2 linked regions of the Caenorhabditis elegans genome follow. The protein of the gene in region 2 interacts with the protein of the main gene of each other region in a pairwise test. Each region holds a gene or a part of one and is shown on either strand. Other genes may lie near its edges.

What was found. Proteins that work in one complex are often made in the same cells at the same time.
Region 1: the proteins of F58F9.4 (region 2) and Y51A2D.13 interact in a two-hybrid assay, tested with the Caenorhabditis elegans proteins (one large-scale study listed by BioGRID).

The regions. Positions count from the first base shown.
Region 1 is NC_003283.11:18,573,785-18,583,091, reverse strand, and holds the start of Y51A2D.13 (PLD phosphodiesterase domain-containing protein), read left to right. Parts: upstream 1-3,307; 5' UTR 3,308-3,485; coding exon 3,486-3,545; intron 3,546-5,540; exon of another isoform or gene 5,541-5,642; coding exon of another isoform or gene 5,643-5,693; intron 5,694-6,441; coding exon 6,442-6,551; intron 6,552-6,682; coding exon 6,683-6,872; intron 6,873-7,023; coding exon 7,024-7,371; intron 7,372-7,660; exon of another isoform or gene 7,661-7,739; intron 7,740-8,012; coding exon 8,013-8,120; intron 8,121-8,324; coding exon 8,325-8,624; intron 8,625-8,978; coding exon 8,979-9,185; intron 9,186-9,307. Other genes in the region: txt-14 (transcellular chaperone signaling (x)cross tissue), read right to left, coding at 205-258, 313-423.
Region 2 is NC_003282.8:6,228,148-6,235,056, forward strand, and holds F58F9.4 (Cadherin domain-containing protein), read left to right. Parts: upstream 1-2,875; 5' UTR 2,876-2,896; coding exon 2,897-2,976; intron 2,977-3,029; coding exon 3,030-3,195; intron 3,196-3,241; coding exon 3,242-3,372; intron 3,373-3,416; coding exon 3,417-3,579; intron 3,580-3,662; coding exon 3,663-3,739; intron 3,740-3,783; coding exon 3,784-3,856; intron 3,857-3,896; coding exon 3,897-4,070; intron 4,071-4,156; coding exon 4,157-4,273; 3' UTR 4,274-4,460; downstream 4,461-6,909. Other genes in the region: C49A9.1 (Telo_bind domain-containing protein), read left to right, coding at 56-219, 269-434, 480-610, 933-1,197, 1,250-1,326, 1,371-1,443, 1,495-1,680, 1,730-1,846; F58F9.3 (Restriction endonuclease), read left to right, coding at 5,106-5,188, 5,274-5,439, 5,480-5,610, 5,658-5,814, 6,812-6,888.

The sequences.
Region 1 (9,307 bases), on a different chromosome or scaffold from region 2:
TTCCCCCAAAAAAAAATGTCTGAAATTCTCGTTTTCCGGCATGAAAGGGTATGAGTTTTTTGAATTTTTGCGGTGTAAATTTTCTGGAATAATCTGAAAATTTTAAATTCAAAAGTTCAAAATGTTATCGATTAATTCAGTTTATTATATTATGCAAATTCAATTTTCAATTTTTTTCAAAAGATAAAAAAATTATTCAAAAAATTAGCAAAGGGTGCAGACGCAGTCTCCGGTGATACAGGTGGCGACTTTGCAGTTCTGAAAAAAAAAATTTCGCTTAAAATCTAAAAACTCAGCTTTTTCAAAACTCACTCTGCAGGTGATGGATTTGCAGATGGAATCCGAGAAATAGCACGAAAAATCGGCTGAAGCCATCTCGATGAGGGCGATGAGGAAGATGACGAGGAGAACGTACTTGAACATGATTTAGAGCTGAAAATATTGGCTTGCATTAGGTGAAAATTCAGAAAAAAAAAGAGGAAAAATGGCCGAAAACTGTGGAAAATGAGCTTTAAACTGTAAGAAATTTAAAAAAATTTTCACCTTTGAAAATCTGGATTTCCGGTGTAAAAATGTCAGAAATTTTTAATTTTTAATTTTCTACCTAAATACCTCTAAAAATTGGGATTTTCCTACTTAAAATTCTTTGAAATTTTGAATTTCAAGTGAAAAAAGTCTAAAACCCTCAAAAAACGGGCCAAAACTACTAAAGTTTTTTTTTTGAATTTTTCGAATAAATTTGAAAATTGAGCAAATGAACTTTGAAGCCTATTCCTAAGCCTCAGCCTAGCCCAAGCCTAAGCCTAACCCTAACACTAAGCCTAAGCCTACGCCTGAAGACTGTACCAGTAAACTCAGAATTATGCTGGAATTTGTTTTTCAGATAAAATTTGACGTGGGAATAATAGCAAACAATTTTCAAGTTAGGCTCTTGGAGGTGCATTTCTAAAAAAATTTGAAATTTAAAAATTCTTGGAGCTCGTGGAGCATTTCCAAGAGGCATTTCAAAGAGCAAATGCTCCGGGTGGGTTGTTTAGAAGAAGCATCCCGTCTTTACGGACAGCTGTGTGCTCCAAATTACACTTTTTGACAGGAATTCGGGTGCCAAGTGTTGTATGATCATGTCAACTTTTCGAAAAGTTTGGCCTCTTTTCCCTACGACGGCAGCTGACATTAATTTTGGGTCCCGCCGCGTGACTTTTGGGAAGATTGATGGAATTTTGGTCGTTTTGCGATCGGAAATAGAGTGAAGAAGCATCAACAAAAAGTTCAAAGAGCTTGATATTGCTTAGGCTTAATCTAAGGCTTAGGTTTAGATTTAGGCTTAGGCTTAATCTAAGGCTTAGATTTAGGCGTAGGCTTTGGCTTAGGCTTAGGCTTAGGGATAGTCTTAGGCTCAGGCTTAGGCTTTGGTTTAGGCTTAGGCTTAGGCTTAGGCTTAGGCTTAGTCTTAGGCTTCAGCTAAGGCTTAGATTTAGGCGTAGGCTTTGGCTTAGGCTTAGGCTTAGGGATAGTCTTAGGCTCAGGCTTAGGCTGTGGTTTAGGCTTAGGCTCAGGCTTAGATTTAGGCTTAGGCTTAGGCTTAAGCTAATGCTTAGATTTAGGCGTAGGCTTTGGCTTAGGCTTAGGCTTAGGGATAGTCTTAGGCTTAGGCTTAGGCTTAGGCTTAGGCTTAGGCTTAGGCTTAGGCTTAGACTTGAAAAATTTCCAGAAATTCCGAAAAATCCGAAAAAAAGAAAAAAATTTTTTAAGTCGGGTCAAAAAGTGTCATAAAACGGCCATTAACATAGGAAATTTGAATTTTCAGTGAATTTTAGTTCTCAAAAATCTAATATTCAGACACTTTTAACAGAAAATCATGAGGTTTGACGGTTTTTGAGTTGGAAAATATTTTTGGTTAAATGTGAAATTCGAAATTTCAGAAATTTTTAGCTAAAAATCAAGGTTTCAGAGGTGTTTAGGTAGGAAATTGAATTCGCATATGGTTTTTTTGTAGAAAATCCAAAATTTTTAGGACAAAAAATAACAAATTCAAAGGTTTTTACATAGAAATTTAGACTTTTATATGAAATTTTCCAATAAAAAAAACTGAACAAAACTGGAAAAAAAGTGAATGTTAAAATAAAACAGTATGATGATACAAATTGTAAGCTGTTGACGAGGGTGATGATTCAAAGTTCACAAAAAAAAACAAAATTGATCATTCGTTTCAACCAACCTATGACGTATAGATTCTGGAAAAAAAGCGGAAATGACGAGGTTTTTAGTCAAAAATCTGTGAAAATTTGCATTTTTCATAAATTTTACACAGGAAATCTGTAAGTTTCAGTCATTTTAACATTGGAAAATTGTGAGTTTCAGACTTTTCTACATAAGAAATTGAAATTTCAGGCTTTTTAAAATTCAAAATTCAAAAATTCACATATTTTCACATAGGAAAATCAAAATTTCACACATTTTAAATGGGATAATCAAAATTTAAGACATTTAAGACATAGGAATTTTGAAAATTCAGGATTGTATATATAATAAATTCAAAATTTCAAATATTTTTACACAGGAAAATCTAAATTTCTGACAGTTTTAGATCGTAAAATTGAGAGTTTTTTAGACATTTTTCGACAAGAAATTCAAAATTTCAGGCATTTTTACATAGGAAAATCGAATTTTCAGACAATCTTTAATATGAAATTTGAAATTTGAAACATTTTTACATAGGAAATTCAAAATTTCTGGCATTTCCAGATAATTTTCAGGCCCTAAAATTTAATTTTCCCATGTAAAAATATCTAAAAATCAAAACTTCCTGGTTTGAATAATTTTGAAAAATTGTTTGCTCTACTTGCCGCACAGCCGTGTTTTTTTTTTAAATTTCCAGCCAGAACTTCAAGCCAGTCAATGCTCCAATATACTCTAAAAAAAATATACTCATAAAAAATGAAATTTTAGCCGATTTTACATAAGAATATTGAAATTTCAGGCATTTTTACATTAGAAAATCGAATTTTCAGACTATTTTTGCATAAGAAAACTGAAATTTCAGACAATTTTGCATAGAAAAATTAGATTTTCAGTCAATTTTTACATAGAAAAGTCAAATTTTCAGACACTTTTACATAGGAACATCGAAGTTTCAAACAATTTGCTATGGAAAATCAAATTTTCGGACTTTTTTTACATAAGAAATTTATAATTTCAGACATTTTGACATATAAAAAATGAAATTTTAGCCGTTTTTACATAAGAATATTGAAATTTCAGGCATTTTTACATAAGAAAATCAATTTTTCAGACTATTTTTGCATAAGAAAACTGAAATTTCTGGCATTTCCAGATAATTTTCAGGCCCTAAAATTTAATTTTCCCATGTAAAAATATCTAAAAATCAAAACTTCCTGGTTTGAAAATTTTTGAACATTGTTTTTGCTCTACTTGCCGCACAGCCGTGTTTTTTTTTAATTCCAGCCAGAACTTCAAGCCAGTCAATGCTCCAATATACTCTGACAAAGTGTGGCTCAGGTCTCGAAAACAAGGAAAATCATGAGGTATGTTATTTTTTTGGAAATAATTATCTGAAAATGTTTGAAAATTTGAATTTCCAATAGAAAAATGTCTGTAAATTTCTCCAATGTAAAAATGTGTGAAATTTCAAATTTCCTATATAAATGGTCTAAAAATACGATTTTCCAATAGTAAAATGTCTGAAAATTTGATTTTCCCATAGAAAAGTGGCAAAAATTTGAATTTCCTATCCCAAAATGCATGAAAACTTGAATTTCTTATTTAAAAATATCTGAAATTTCAAATTTTCGAAGTAAAAATGTCTGAACATTTGGTTCTCCCTGGTACAAATGTCTGAAATCCTGAATTTTCCATAAAAAAATGTCTGAAATTTTGATTTTCCAATAGAAAAAAGTCTGAAAACTTGAGATTCCTATGTAAAAATAGTTAAAAATTCGAATTTCCAATAGAAAATTGTCTGCTAATTAGAATTTCCAATAGAAAATTGTCTGAAAATGTGATTTTCCAATGTAAAAATGTTTGAAAATTTAAATTTCCAATAGAAAATTGCCTGAAAATTTGGTTTTCCTATGCAAAATTGCCTAAATCTTCAATTTTCCAGCCTAAACATAGCTGAAAATTCAATTTTCCTATGTGAAAATGTCGAAAATTGTGAATTGTCCATAGAGAAGTGCCGGAAAATTCTGAATTTCCTATGAAAAAATGACTAAATCTTCAATTTTTCCGCCTGAAATTGCCTGAAATTTAAAATTTCCAGTGTAAAAATGCCGAAAACTTCCATTTTCCCGCCCTAAAATTGTCTAAAAATTTGAATTTCCTCCTCAAAACTGTCCTCAAAATTGTTTGTGCTGAAAATTGCTTGCAGAACACCAGAAAACGCTTAAAAACAACCATTATCAGCTTATCATTTTTAGTTTTTCAGACAAAAAATCTCAAAAACAAATGTAAAAATCACGTCAATTTTGATCATTGAAAATCAAAATCAAAACCAAAATTTTGATAAATTTTCAAAAATTCAAAAATAATTATCACATGATAAAATTGTATTCAATGATCAGTCCAAAAATAGGCGCCACGTGATAATTTTAGGCTAATCAGTGGAGTTGGAAAAGTCTGAAAGTACAGTCTATCGGTGTTTCCGGGTGTCCGTCGACCCGGGAAATGTCGGCCGCTCCTAGAAATTCCTGATAATCGATTTTGATCTTTATAGCTAAAATTACCTGAAATATCAAAAAAAAATTGCAAAAATGGTTGGCTTCTTAGCGGCGGACATCTCCAGGGTTTGAGCAGCCGACACTTACCGGGTGGCTATAGTTTTAGCAGCCGACACCTTCCGGGAAGCTATAGTTTTAGCAGCCGACACCTGCCGGGAGGCTATAGTTTTAGCAGCCGACACCTGCCGGGAGGCTATAGTTTTAGTAGCCGACACTTACCTGGTGGCTATAGTTTTAGCAGCCGACACCTGCCGGGAGGCTATAGTTTTAGCAGCCGACACCTGCCGGGTGGCTATACTTAGTTTAGCAGCCGACATCTGCCGGGTCGCTATAACTTTAGCAGCCGACACCTGCCGGGAGGCTATAGTTTTAGCAGCCGACACCTACCGGGAGGCTATAGTTTTAGCAGCCGACACCTGCCGGGTGGCTACAGTTTTAGCAGCCGACACTTACCGGGGCTATACATGCTTTTTCGACACCCAAATTTCTATAGAAATTGAGCAGCGGACATTTCCTGGGTAGTTTTTCGCCAAAATTTTGAATTTTTTCACGTTTTCGCACCGTTAAAACAAGAATCAACTGACTTTTCCCATAGTCTTAAAGTTCAACCTCTTTTTTTAGCCCTTATCAAGTGCAATTTCCTGATTTTCCGTGGGCTTATTGACGTCAATTAGTCAATTGTGGAGGCGCGTGACGGTGTCAGGCTCCCTGACAAACTGTCTATCAGATCATTAACTGATAAGAAAATGCACATAAATACGCGGTGCTTATCACCGGATAGTTTCCTACTTTCAGTTTCACTCTTTTGCCTCACAATTTTCGATATTTGACACTTTTTCGAGTGGAAAATTGAGAAAAATTTGGGAATAATTTGGAGAGAAATTGAAATTTTTTGTTGAAATATACATGACAATGGCACAAGAATCTAATGAATTAAAATACAAATTCACAATATCGGTACGTTTCAGATTGAATTTTTTGAGATCTTTTTGTTGGGAAAATTGGATGTTATTGATTAAATTTTGGAAATCTCCAAAATCAAATAAAACATTCATTTTTGGAATTTTCTGTAAATTTTTAACATTTTTATTAAGTTTTTTATATTTAAAAAAAAAGTCATCTGAATTTTTTTAGAATTTTCAAAAATTCCAAAAAAAATATTTTTTTAGGTTTCAATTTTTTTTAATTCAAAAAATTATAGAATTTTTTCTGAATTTTTAACTAAAAAAATTTGAAAATTAGCTCATACTTTAACTAGAAATTTTAAAATGATAGAACTTACAGACATTTTAAAAATTGAAAAAAATTTAATAAATTTGCCAAAAATTAATTTTTTGGAATTTTTTATAGTTTTTCAATTTTGAAAAATAAATTGAACTTATTTTTTAATTACTTTTTGGATTTTTGTTTTCAAAGTATAAATAGTGTGAAAATAAAAAAATTAAAAATTTGCAAAAAAAATTTTTTTTTGAAGTTTCGAATTTAAATTTTCTGTTTTTTTCAGAGAAAAAAAATTTAATTTTTAAAAATATAATTTTTAAAAAACACATAATAATTTTTAAAAAATTCAATAAAACCTTTTTTTAATTTTTCCAAAATTTCCAAAAAAATTTTTTTTCTTGGAAGTTTAAAATTTTCTACTTCAATGCTTTCTAAACTTAAAAAAAAAACCAAAACATTAATCTTTATAAATTATTTTTTTCAGGGCTTCGTGATATTATTAATACCCTTCCTCACAATAGGACTTATCACAAAATTACCGGAAAAACCAGAAATTCAATTGGTTAGGGATCGTCAATGTTTTAATACTTGCAAGTGAGTTTTGGCGGGAAATTTAAAAAAAATTGAATTTTCGAAGTGGAACAGAAATTTAAAAATTTTGAAAAAATTGTTTTTGAAATTTTTTTCCGAAAATTTCAAAAAATCCAATTTTCATAAAATTTCAGATTACGAATAGTGGAAACAATTCCAGCAAATATTTCATTCGGCGAAGATACCGTATTCCCATTATCCACGTTTCGCGCCTGGAAATCGCTAATTTCAAATGCTCAGGAGGAGCTCTACGTGGCGGCTTACAAGTCGAGTTTGCAGGGGAAACATGTGCTCGGGGACTCTGCAAAGTATTATTCTGTAGAGGTATGAGAACTTTTTTCCAAACTTTGAAAAAAAAAAATTTTTTTTGAAAATTTTTGAAAATTTTTTTTCGAAAAAAACTTCAAAAATTTTTTTGAAAAAAAAAACAACTTTTTCCAAAAACTTCAAATTTTCAAATTTCCTCAATTTCCAGGGAGATTCCATCTACAACACCCTAATGGCAGTAGGAAAATCCCGAAAAGTTGCCGTCAGAATGGTGGAAAACTACCCGCCAAAGGATAAGGGCGACAACGCCGACGGTGTGATTTTGGAGAATTTCGGCGCGGTGACCCGGAAATCAATCGATATTTCCGAATATATGGGCCGTGGAAAAATGCATTCGAAATTTTTGGTCGCCGACCGGAAAAGCTTTTATTTGGGCTCGGCGAATTTGGACTGGCGGAGTTTGAATCAGAAAATGGAGTTGGGTGTTTTGGTGGAAGATTGCGAATGTCTTGGAGAGGATATGCATAATATTTTCCATGTTTTGTGGGATTTGAAGGTAAGAAGACCCTCATGTGTTTGGGGGTGTGCACAAAAAATTACGAAAATCGGTTGGAAACTGACAATTTTACAAGGGTATCGAGAAACGCGTCAAGGCACTAGAATTGCGCCAAGGCAATAGAAATGCGCCAAGGCACTTGAATTGCGCCAAGGCACTAGAAATGTGTCAAGGAACTAGAATTGCGCCAAGGCACTAGAATTGTGTCAAAGCACTAGAATTGCGCCAAGGCACTAGAAATGCGTCAAGGAACTAGAATTGCGTTAGCGCACTAGAATGTCGTCAAGGGACTAGAAATGCGTCAAGGCACTAGAATTGCGCCAAGGCACTAGAAATGCGCCAAGGAACTAGAATTGCGCCAAGGCACTAAAATTGCATCAAGGCACTAAAATTGTGGCAAGGCACTAAGATTGCGCCAACAGCATACCTTGGCGCATTTTTTGATACAATATTAATATCACTTCAGTGCACCATAATTTAATAATTGCACGAAAGTTGCGCCAGCAAGCCACCTTGGCGCATTCCTCGATACAGTAGTTTTAGATGCATTTTTGGCTTTTTTTAAACGCACTTTTGTCTAGTTTACACGAAAAATTCAAATTCCCTATTTTCTGACAGAGCCAAATTTTCAAATTTTCCAGAATAAAGGCATCGAGTCAAATGGGGCACTGAAAGTTAAAGCCGCCTATAACAAGGAGTACCCGCTGGAAATGCAAGTACAAGGAGCCAAGGCTCAGGTTTATATCGCGGTGAGTTTTTGAAAATTTTCAGAAGAAATTGTTGACTAAAAAATTTTTAAACAAAAATTCGAAAATTTCCAAAAAAAACATTTTTTTTTGGAAATTTTTAAAAAATTTTTGTATATCGATTTTTTTGTGAAAATATCGATTTTTAGGGTCAAATTTTCTGAATTTTTCAAATTTTCACTCTATTTTATTCCAATGTTTTTGCAGACCTCCCCAAAAGAGCTCAACAACCCACGCCGTACATGGGACCTCGACGCAATTGTCTCGGAAATTGACGCCGCCAAGAAATTCATTGATATCCATGTTATGGACTATTTCCCGTTGTTCATCTACCGTAATCCACGTGTACATTTCTCGAATATTGATGACGCGATCCGACGGGCGGTGGTTAGAGGCGTCAAAATTCGATTCCTAGCCGCCGCGCTTCATTATCCGGATATTGGAACGAGGTTCCTGAGATCCTTGGAATCGTTGAATGGTTTCCATGCTAATGGTACTATGGAAGTGGTGAGTTACTTTAATTTTCAGAAAATAGAAAAAATTTCATGGGTTTTGGTAAAAAATTGGAGGAAAACCGATGAAATTGAAGGAATTTACCAATGGAGCGCACTTGCAACAATTTTCATTTGAAAAATCATATTTTTTGTGTCAAATTCAAGTTTCTCATAAAATTCTCGTTAATTTGGCACCCATATTGGCTATATTTGAACAAATCTGAAATTTTGAGCCTAAACAGGCCTAAACCGGCCTGGAACGGCCTAAAACTTTAATTTTTCAGAAAATAGTCAATATGGGTGTTAAAATTTTGCAAATTTCATGGAGATTTCGAAACTGTTCACAAAAAAACAATAAATATTCCAGAAAATCTTCAAAGTTCCACGTACCAACATTGAAAGTATAGTAATTAATCGGGAGCGCCGGACGCATAATAAATTCATGGTCACCGAGTCGGCGGGAATTATTGGAACCTCAAATTGGTCGGGAGACTATTTTATGGGTGGAACTACTGGAGCTGCGATAGTTATCAGGCAAACCGGGGAGAAGCGGCCTTTTGTGGATGAGTTGAAGGTAAAATTTCTTGAAATTCCGTGAAAATCCTGCAAAAATCCAAGGAAAACTGGCTGTTTTACAAGGGTATCGAGAAATGCGTCAAGGACACTAGATTTGCGTCAAGGCACTAGACATGCGCC
Region 2 (6,909 bases):
TGCCGTAGCGACACTTACTACTAACCATCTATCGACTCCTTCCACACTGATAAGAATGACATTTTTGCTGAAAAGTTGCTCCACATTTTTTGAAAAATTTTGTTGTTGTTGTAAGAAATATGAATCTGAATGGAATACACAATTGGAGTCAATTTCTTTATTTGCTGCAAGAAGAGGTTTTACTGATGGAGAGCCTTATTTAATTTTATTTGGATTATGGTAAATTATTTTTCAATTTTAAAAAGTACAATTTTTGAATATTTTCTAGCCCAAATGCAAATAAAACATTTATTGTTTCGGAAAATAAACTATCCGATTCAAACATTTGCCTCGGTGACTTCCTCGTGGCTTGCTCAGATTCTCCAAAAAACTTGAAAAACTTCAAAAAAGTTCCATATCCACTAGACGTAACAGTTGAAGGTGATTATGCTATTGTGAGTTTTTCATAGACTTTGAAAACGAAAATGTATTAATTGCAGATAAGTTATTCGTCAATGGAAGCTATCAAGGATATTAGTGGAATATTGATTTTTCAAACAACCGATTTTGGTCCAATTAGATCGTTGAATCAAAATCTAGATTTAGATGAATACAATATTACTGTGCACGCGTGAGTTTTTTTCATTGAAAAATTAAAAAATCAACGGAACATTTTTGCCAGAAATCTGTGAGAGCATTGTTTAAAATTAAAGCCTTATAGTAAGAATCTTGTAACAGGGGAACATGTTTTCAGGCTCAAAATTCTGAGCATTTCTTACCGGTAGGACTGACAATAAACTTAAATATAAATTTAAACTTATACTTTTCGTTTCATTTTTAAATGGTTTTTTTTTAAATCCCTGGAACTAACAAAAAACGTAGAAGGTTTTTAAAAATATGGTTATAATCACAATTAGAATATTTGAAAACTCATCAAAAATATTCAATTTCAGAACAGGCGTATCTGCAAGCGGACATGTAATTGAATTACGTGCCAAAGCCCAGCCTGCTTCAAACTATAGAAACAGTTCAGTTTATGAAAACCCCAGTTTTCTTGATGATCTCTCAGATGAACCCCTGGAAATCAAGAAAACGATTTCTAATAATTCTCTAGATGGTTTTTCCATGGAACAGCTTATCCAACAACTTCCGACTCTGGAACTTGGTGAAGCCGAAAATAGCGTACGCGTTCCACAAAACCTTTCTGCTCCACGGCTGGTAATATTTACAGTTGGGGAAATAATTCCTGCGAATTTTGTTTCAATTTCAGATGAAAGCGTTTGTGTATTCCGTTCATCAATATCCACATACTAAATTTCACTTCCTGTGGATTTGTGATATCATGGAGTAAGATAACGTGTTACTGCTCCGATATATGATAAATATTTTAGAAAATCTATATTGAAACTACCACAATATGATTTTGAGTTGGGTTACTTTTTTGAAGGAATTTTCAAACAGAAGGTAACTTTTTTGAAACTGTTCAGGCTCCAAGGATATCTTACTAAATTTCAGTCAAATGGAAAATGGGAATGCGAGCAGTACAACAATAAAATCGAACCATTAATTAATGGAACAGTAGTTATTAATGAGTACAACGGTAATGAAAAAGTGGAACTTACAACTACTGTCACAAACTATAAACCAAAGAATAACACAAGAAAATGGCCAGAAGTTGAAGCAAAGTATTTAGGAGTTGTAGTAAGTTTTGGGAAATTGTTTAAAAATCTTTTTTTAATTCAATTTTCAGTATGACAGACACAATAAACTTCCCAAGAACTGTGAAGGGCAAAAAGTTGAAGTTCAAATGATGAAAATTGATAAAGAACAATATGGATGGGTTATAACAGATATTTTAAATGAGTAAAACAACTCCTTTCAATGAATATTACTTTTATTATTTTCAAAACATTTGTTTTTGCAAATCTTGGTGGCAGACTGGCATAATTTGATATGTTGTAAACAGCAATTTTTCAAAATTTTGTCTCGCTTTAAAACTTTACTGAAAAAGTAAAGACTAAAAAAACTCGGATGACAAATTCAATTAATTGTTTTTAATATATTTTTATTTTATTATTTACACTGTTCCGAAAGAAGGTTTAAAAAAGAAATTAAGCGAATATTTATGATTAATATAATACAGAGAGAAACAAAAAAGTTTTGATGCTGGTTCAAACAATAAGTTTCAAATTTTGTATTATACAATGCACAATTCAAAATAGTAAAATCAAATTTGAATTTAAAAAACCACATAGATTTTTTTTTATTGTCTGGCTTTCCATCTGAGTAGTTAATAGATTCCTTAGATTTTGGTGTTAAACATTTTTCTACCGCGATAAATTTTTATCTAAAATATCAAGATATTGTTATCCAAAATATACGGTTCCTCCTGGAAGGCATTTAGAAAATAAAAGTTAGGAAAGGTTGATATTCAGCTTTAATTTAAGATTGGCAAATTTTAATCTGTTCCAGTATTTTTTGTTTTTCAAAGATTATTTCATGAACGAAAAAACCTAAAATTACATCATTCTTCAATGAATATTCGACTTATGAAAATTTACTGACTCATACTCCTCTTGTTAATAAAATTTTCCGTGTGAAGCATTTTTTATTTGAATCAATTCAGTTTCTTATCAACAAAACCTATACACACAATCGCCGAATGAAAATCGAAAAAGAGAAAACTGACAACATTTCCTACTAGGAGTGAGCAAGTTGTGTTTCTCGATTTTTATCTAATTATTTTCGAATGAAACTGCAATTTTGCATGAAATCGTTCGAGAATTTGAAGAAATAATTTGTCGGAATTTAAGAATGAAATGTTTTATACTTTGACGTATTTCCTCTATTAGTGTTGCACTCGAGTTGTAATGTATAAAATAATACTTCATTTCAGCAAAAATTTTTAATTTCAAACATGACAACTACAACTTTTTTCGTCGCATATCGAGGGTATTACATTGATGGCACAAAATTCCTGAACTTGATCGGATTGGGGTTTGTAACTTTTTTTTCAATCTATACCTAATACATACGTTACGGTTTTACAGATCTGATAACGATAAAAGCTTTCGCATATTAGAAACAGATCTCAATGGACAAGGAATCACATTGGGTAATGTTTTAACTGCGGTTATCAGATCGAAGAAAAGTCTCGACGCGTTTCAATTGAAAAGTCACAATTTCAATGTGAAAATTGATGGAAATTTTGCACTTGTGAGAGTTTTCACAGTATAGTTTTTATGAAAAATAACAATTTTAGGTTGATGGGATTGAAGGAGAATTAGTGAGGAATCGAGATGAAGACTTAGTTTTTGAAACAGAATCATTCGGAACTGTTAGAGCTATTGACCAAACTCTTGCTATTGGAAAATATATGATTACTGTTAGAGCGTAAGTTTTTAAAGGTAATCGAACACAAACAGATAACTTTTCAGAACAAATCATAAAGAAGAAAGCAAATTCAAAAACTTGCAGTATTGCGCCACCGTTCTAAAGAAAATTGAGCCGGCTCCTCCTATGTGTAGCTCCAGCACATCCTCGACTACTGTTGGGAAGGGATTTCAGTCCCGACAACAACCGGAAAACAAAATCAAAACGGTGAGATAATCAGAAAATAAACTTTTTCTAATATTCACTATCCAGAAAAATTAACAAAACCTGATAATATGTAAATTTTTCAGATGAACGCATTCATCTATAGAGTAATTAAGAAAAATCACCGCACGATTTACTTTTTATGGATTTGTGAACGTTACGAGTAAGAAGCTATTTTCCATCAACTTTGAACTTGAACAATTTCAGACAAGCAATATTTTTTTCGAAAACATACAACCTGACTGTGGGGCACTTTTTTGAAGGAATGTTTGAAGAAAGAGTAAGAAAAAATGTTAATTTTATAAACAAATAATTCTCAGAAAAATGCGAAATCGAATTGGCAATGCTTCAAATACGTTAGGCAGATTGAAGATATGTTTCCCGTCGATGTAGTCGGAAATTTGTTAGAAATAAAAACAACAATTAGTCATTATCAACCAATGACTAATATGACACAGTATCCACAAGTCTTCGCAGTGCATTTCGGATTTATTGTATGTTTATTCACCAATTGTTTCTTTTAATGAGACACCATTGATATTTAAAAAATAAAGTAAAAACATAATCAAACGTTTTCCAGCTAGACATCAAACAAATACTCCGTAACCTTAAAACGGATTGTACTGGAAAAACGGTTATCACGCAACGACAAAAAGTTGGGCAAAAGTTTGCATGGACTATCAAAGAAGTACTATAAGAAATACATATATTAAACTTACTAAAAGGATTTTGGCAACTGTTAAAAAACGTTTTAATGTGATTTGAAGTTATCTTATAAAAATGAATATCCCCTTTAACATAATCAAATATATGAATACATCCTAAACCGGATTAACTTTGAATTTATTTTTTTTTTAAGATTTGAATGAAGTGCTGATTTCTTGTGTTTTCTGCATGGCTACTGCATACAAATTGTTGCATCTGTGTCGCATTTGTTCACCTTCCAGAATGGTTCTATAATTTTGAAATTCTTCAATAGGTTTGAGAGAAGCAACGTTTCAAATTTTGTAGTTCGTTTCGTTGTAATTAAAAACTAAAAACTAGACTTCATACAAGTGCCTCAAAAAATGAAAACCGACCTCTTGATTATTTTCTGTTTTTTATTCTCAGAATAGCTATTTTCAGTTCAAATCGCTGGGTTCGAATAGGAAAATTGCTAAAGATTATCCTCTATGATGTGAAATTGAACCCGTGTTGGTTTTTGATCTTTCGAAAATTACTCTTCTAAAATAAAAGTGATTCATTCAACACATTCTCATAAATAGGTTAATGTCCATTTTTATCAATAGCAAGCAAATGTTTGATAAGCCAACAAATGCTGAAATAGGAGCGAAGACATTGAGAATGTTCTCGGGCCTCTCCATTATTTATTGATCAACTTCTTAAGAATGAGCAAATTTATTTGTCAGAATTGGTTTCATAAGTGAACATTCTTTCGCTCTATGTTTTGAATTTTTCATAAAAATGTTTTAATTATGTTTGATTGGAGGCATTCTTTAAAGTTTTATTGATTTGTTTTGAGATAAAATATGGCTCAAATAATCGACTTCTTCGCGGCATTTAGAGGATACTATTCGGATGGTTCAACATTTATCCAGATTATTAGCCTTGGGTGAGTACACCAGTTTATGATTCATATTTGTTCAATTTTCGTTCAGTAATTAAAATAATCATATCAATTATTCCAAGTATTACAGTTCCCATCACAATCTGTCAGTCCATATTTCGGAAAGAATGCTTTCAGAGAGTGGAATTAAACTTGGAAATTTTCTCAGTGCTACAGTTTCATTGGCAGAGCATCCAAAGAATTTCCAATTAAAGAGACTCAACCTGCAAGTCACTGTGGAAGGAAACTTTGCAAAGGTTAGAATAAATTAACTTTACTAAAGAAATTGTTGTTTAGGTGCACGGAATTGAGGCAAACTTGGAGAAGAATGCTGATGGAATTTTAGTATTCTCTACAAACAACTTTGCATCAGCGAAGGCTACGAACCAGGGTCTGGAGATTGGAAGATACAAAATAACTGTACAGGCGTAAGCTTTTGATTTGAGATTTCGAAAACTCACACAAATAAGTTCAGTGTGAAACCATCTGAAAAAGATTTGTTCAATGGTATGAAGTTTTTTGGAACCGTGGAAGAGAAAATCAGTGGTCTTACAAGACGAGTTGCCTCTAACAACACGAACCAAGTAATCGGCGAGGGATTTAGAAACATGAGTATCAGTGGAAAAAGAACTGTAAGTTGAATAATTACAGGGTGGGCCAAAAGTATGGTAACACATGAAGCGCTCTTTTACATGAGCTTTTCGCGCGACTGCCACGTCATACGTACATTCTTCTATCGAATACTGATAGCTGAATAAATGTCCTTCAATTTGACTCAAAATTTGTAATGTTTCCCAATAAGGTGCGATCTTTATCACCTCGACAATTTGGCGAACCCTTTCGAAAAAACGGTAATTTGGCACGCGGCACTTCCCACACAAACACACCTCCCACGCACGCCAATAATTTGCAGATGTATGATTTTTATGTTAAATTTAAAGTTAAAGAAGTGAAGAAGCGTTTTTAATTGTTTTTGTAGCATATGAAAATTTTCTGTGTCGACACTGGCGCCTAGCAAGAACCTTTGAATATTTCATGAATTCAACTTTGCGAAATTTACTCAGTTTTTTTGGTTTCGCAAGGCGTAACGACCCACAAAATCATCCGAGCTCAATTTTCTAAAAAAATTCTGGAAAGTGAGGTCAAAACGTCTCGAAAAATACTAAAATGAATTTTTCTGCATACTGCTACTCGCCGCTCACATCCATCTTTCTGGCGACTATGCCATTCAAGGCTTAACCTACTGCCGCAGTCCATGACAGAAATACCGTGATAGAAATTATTTGGATTTTTGTTTTTAAAGAATCTCTAGACCAAGAGCATTCTTTGAACTATAAAAACTTGTAAGACATTTGATGGATTCCTCGAGAAAAATGTAGAAATCCCGCAGAATGCCGACTTGCGTGCCATAACGGTCGTGATCTCAAAAGTTCTGAAGGCCTGCAGCGATGCGGATGGGAATATTTTGAAAATTCAAAACGTTCATCTGGTCAGTATTTTATGGAGAACAAAACTTGTACAAATTGATGTAATAACTCTCTCCACTAGTAAAGTTATAGAGCTGCAAACGTGTTACCATACTTTTGGCCCACCCTGTAAATTAAAGGTACATTTTTTTCCATTTTTCAGATGAAAGCTTTTGTGTACAGCACAATCCAAAAAAAAGATCTCAATACGTATTTTTTGTGGATTTGTGACAAACAAGAGTAAGCTTTATCATAATTTAT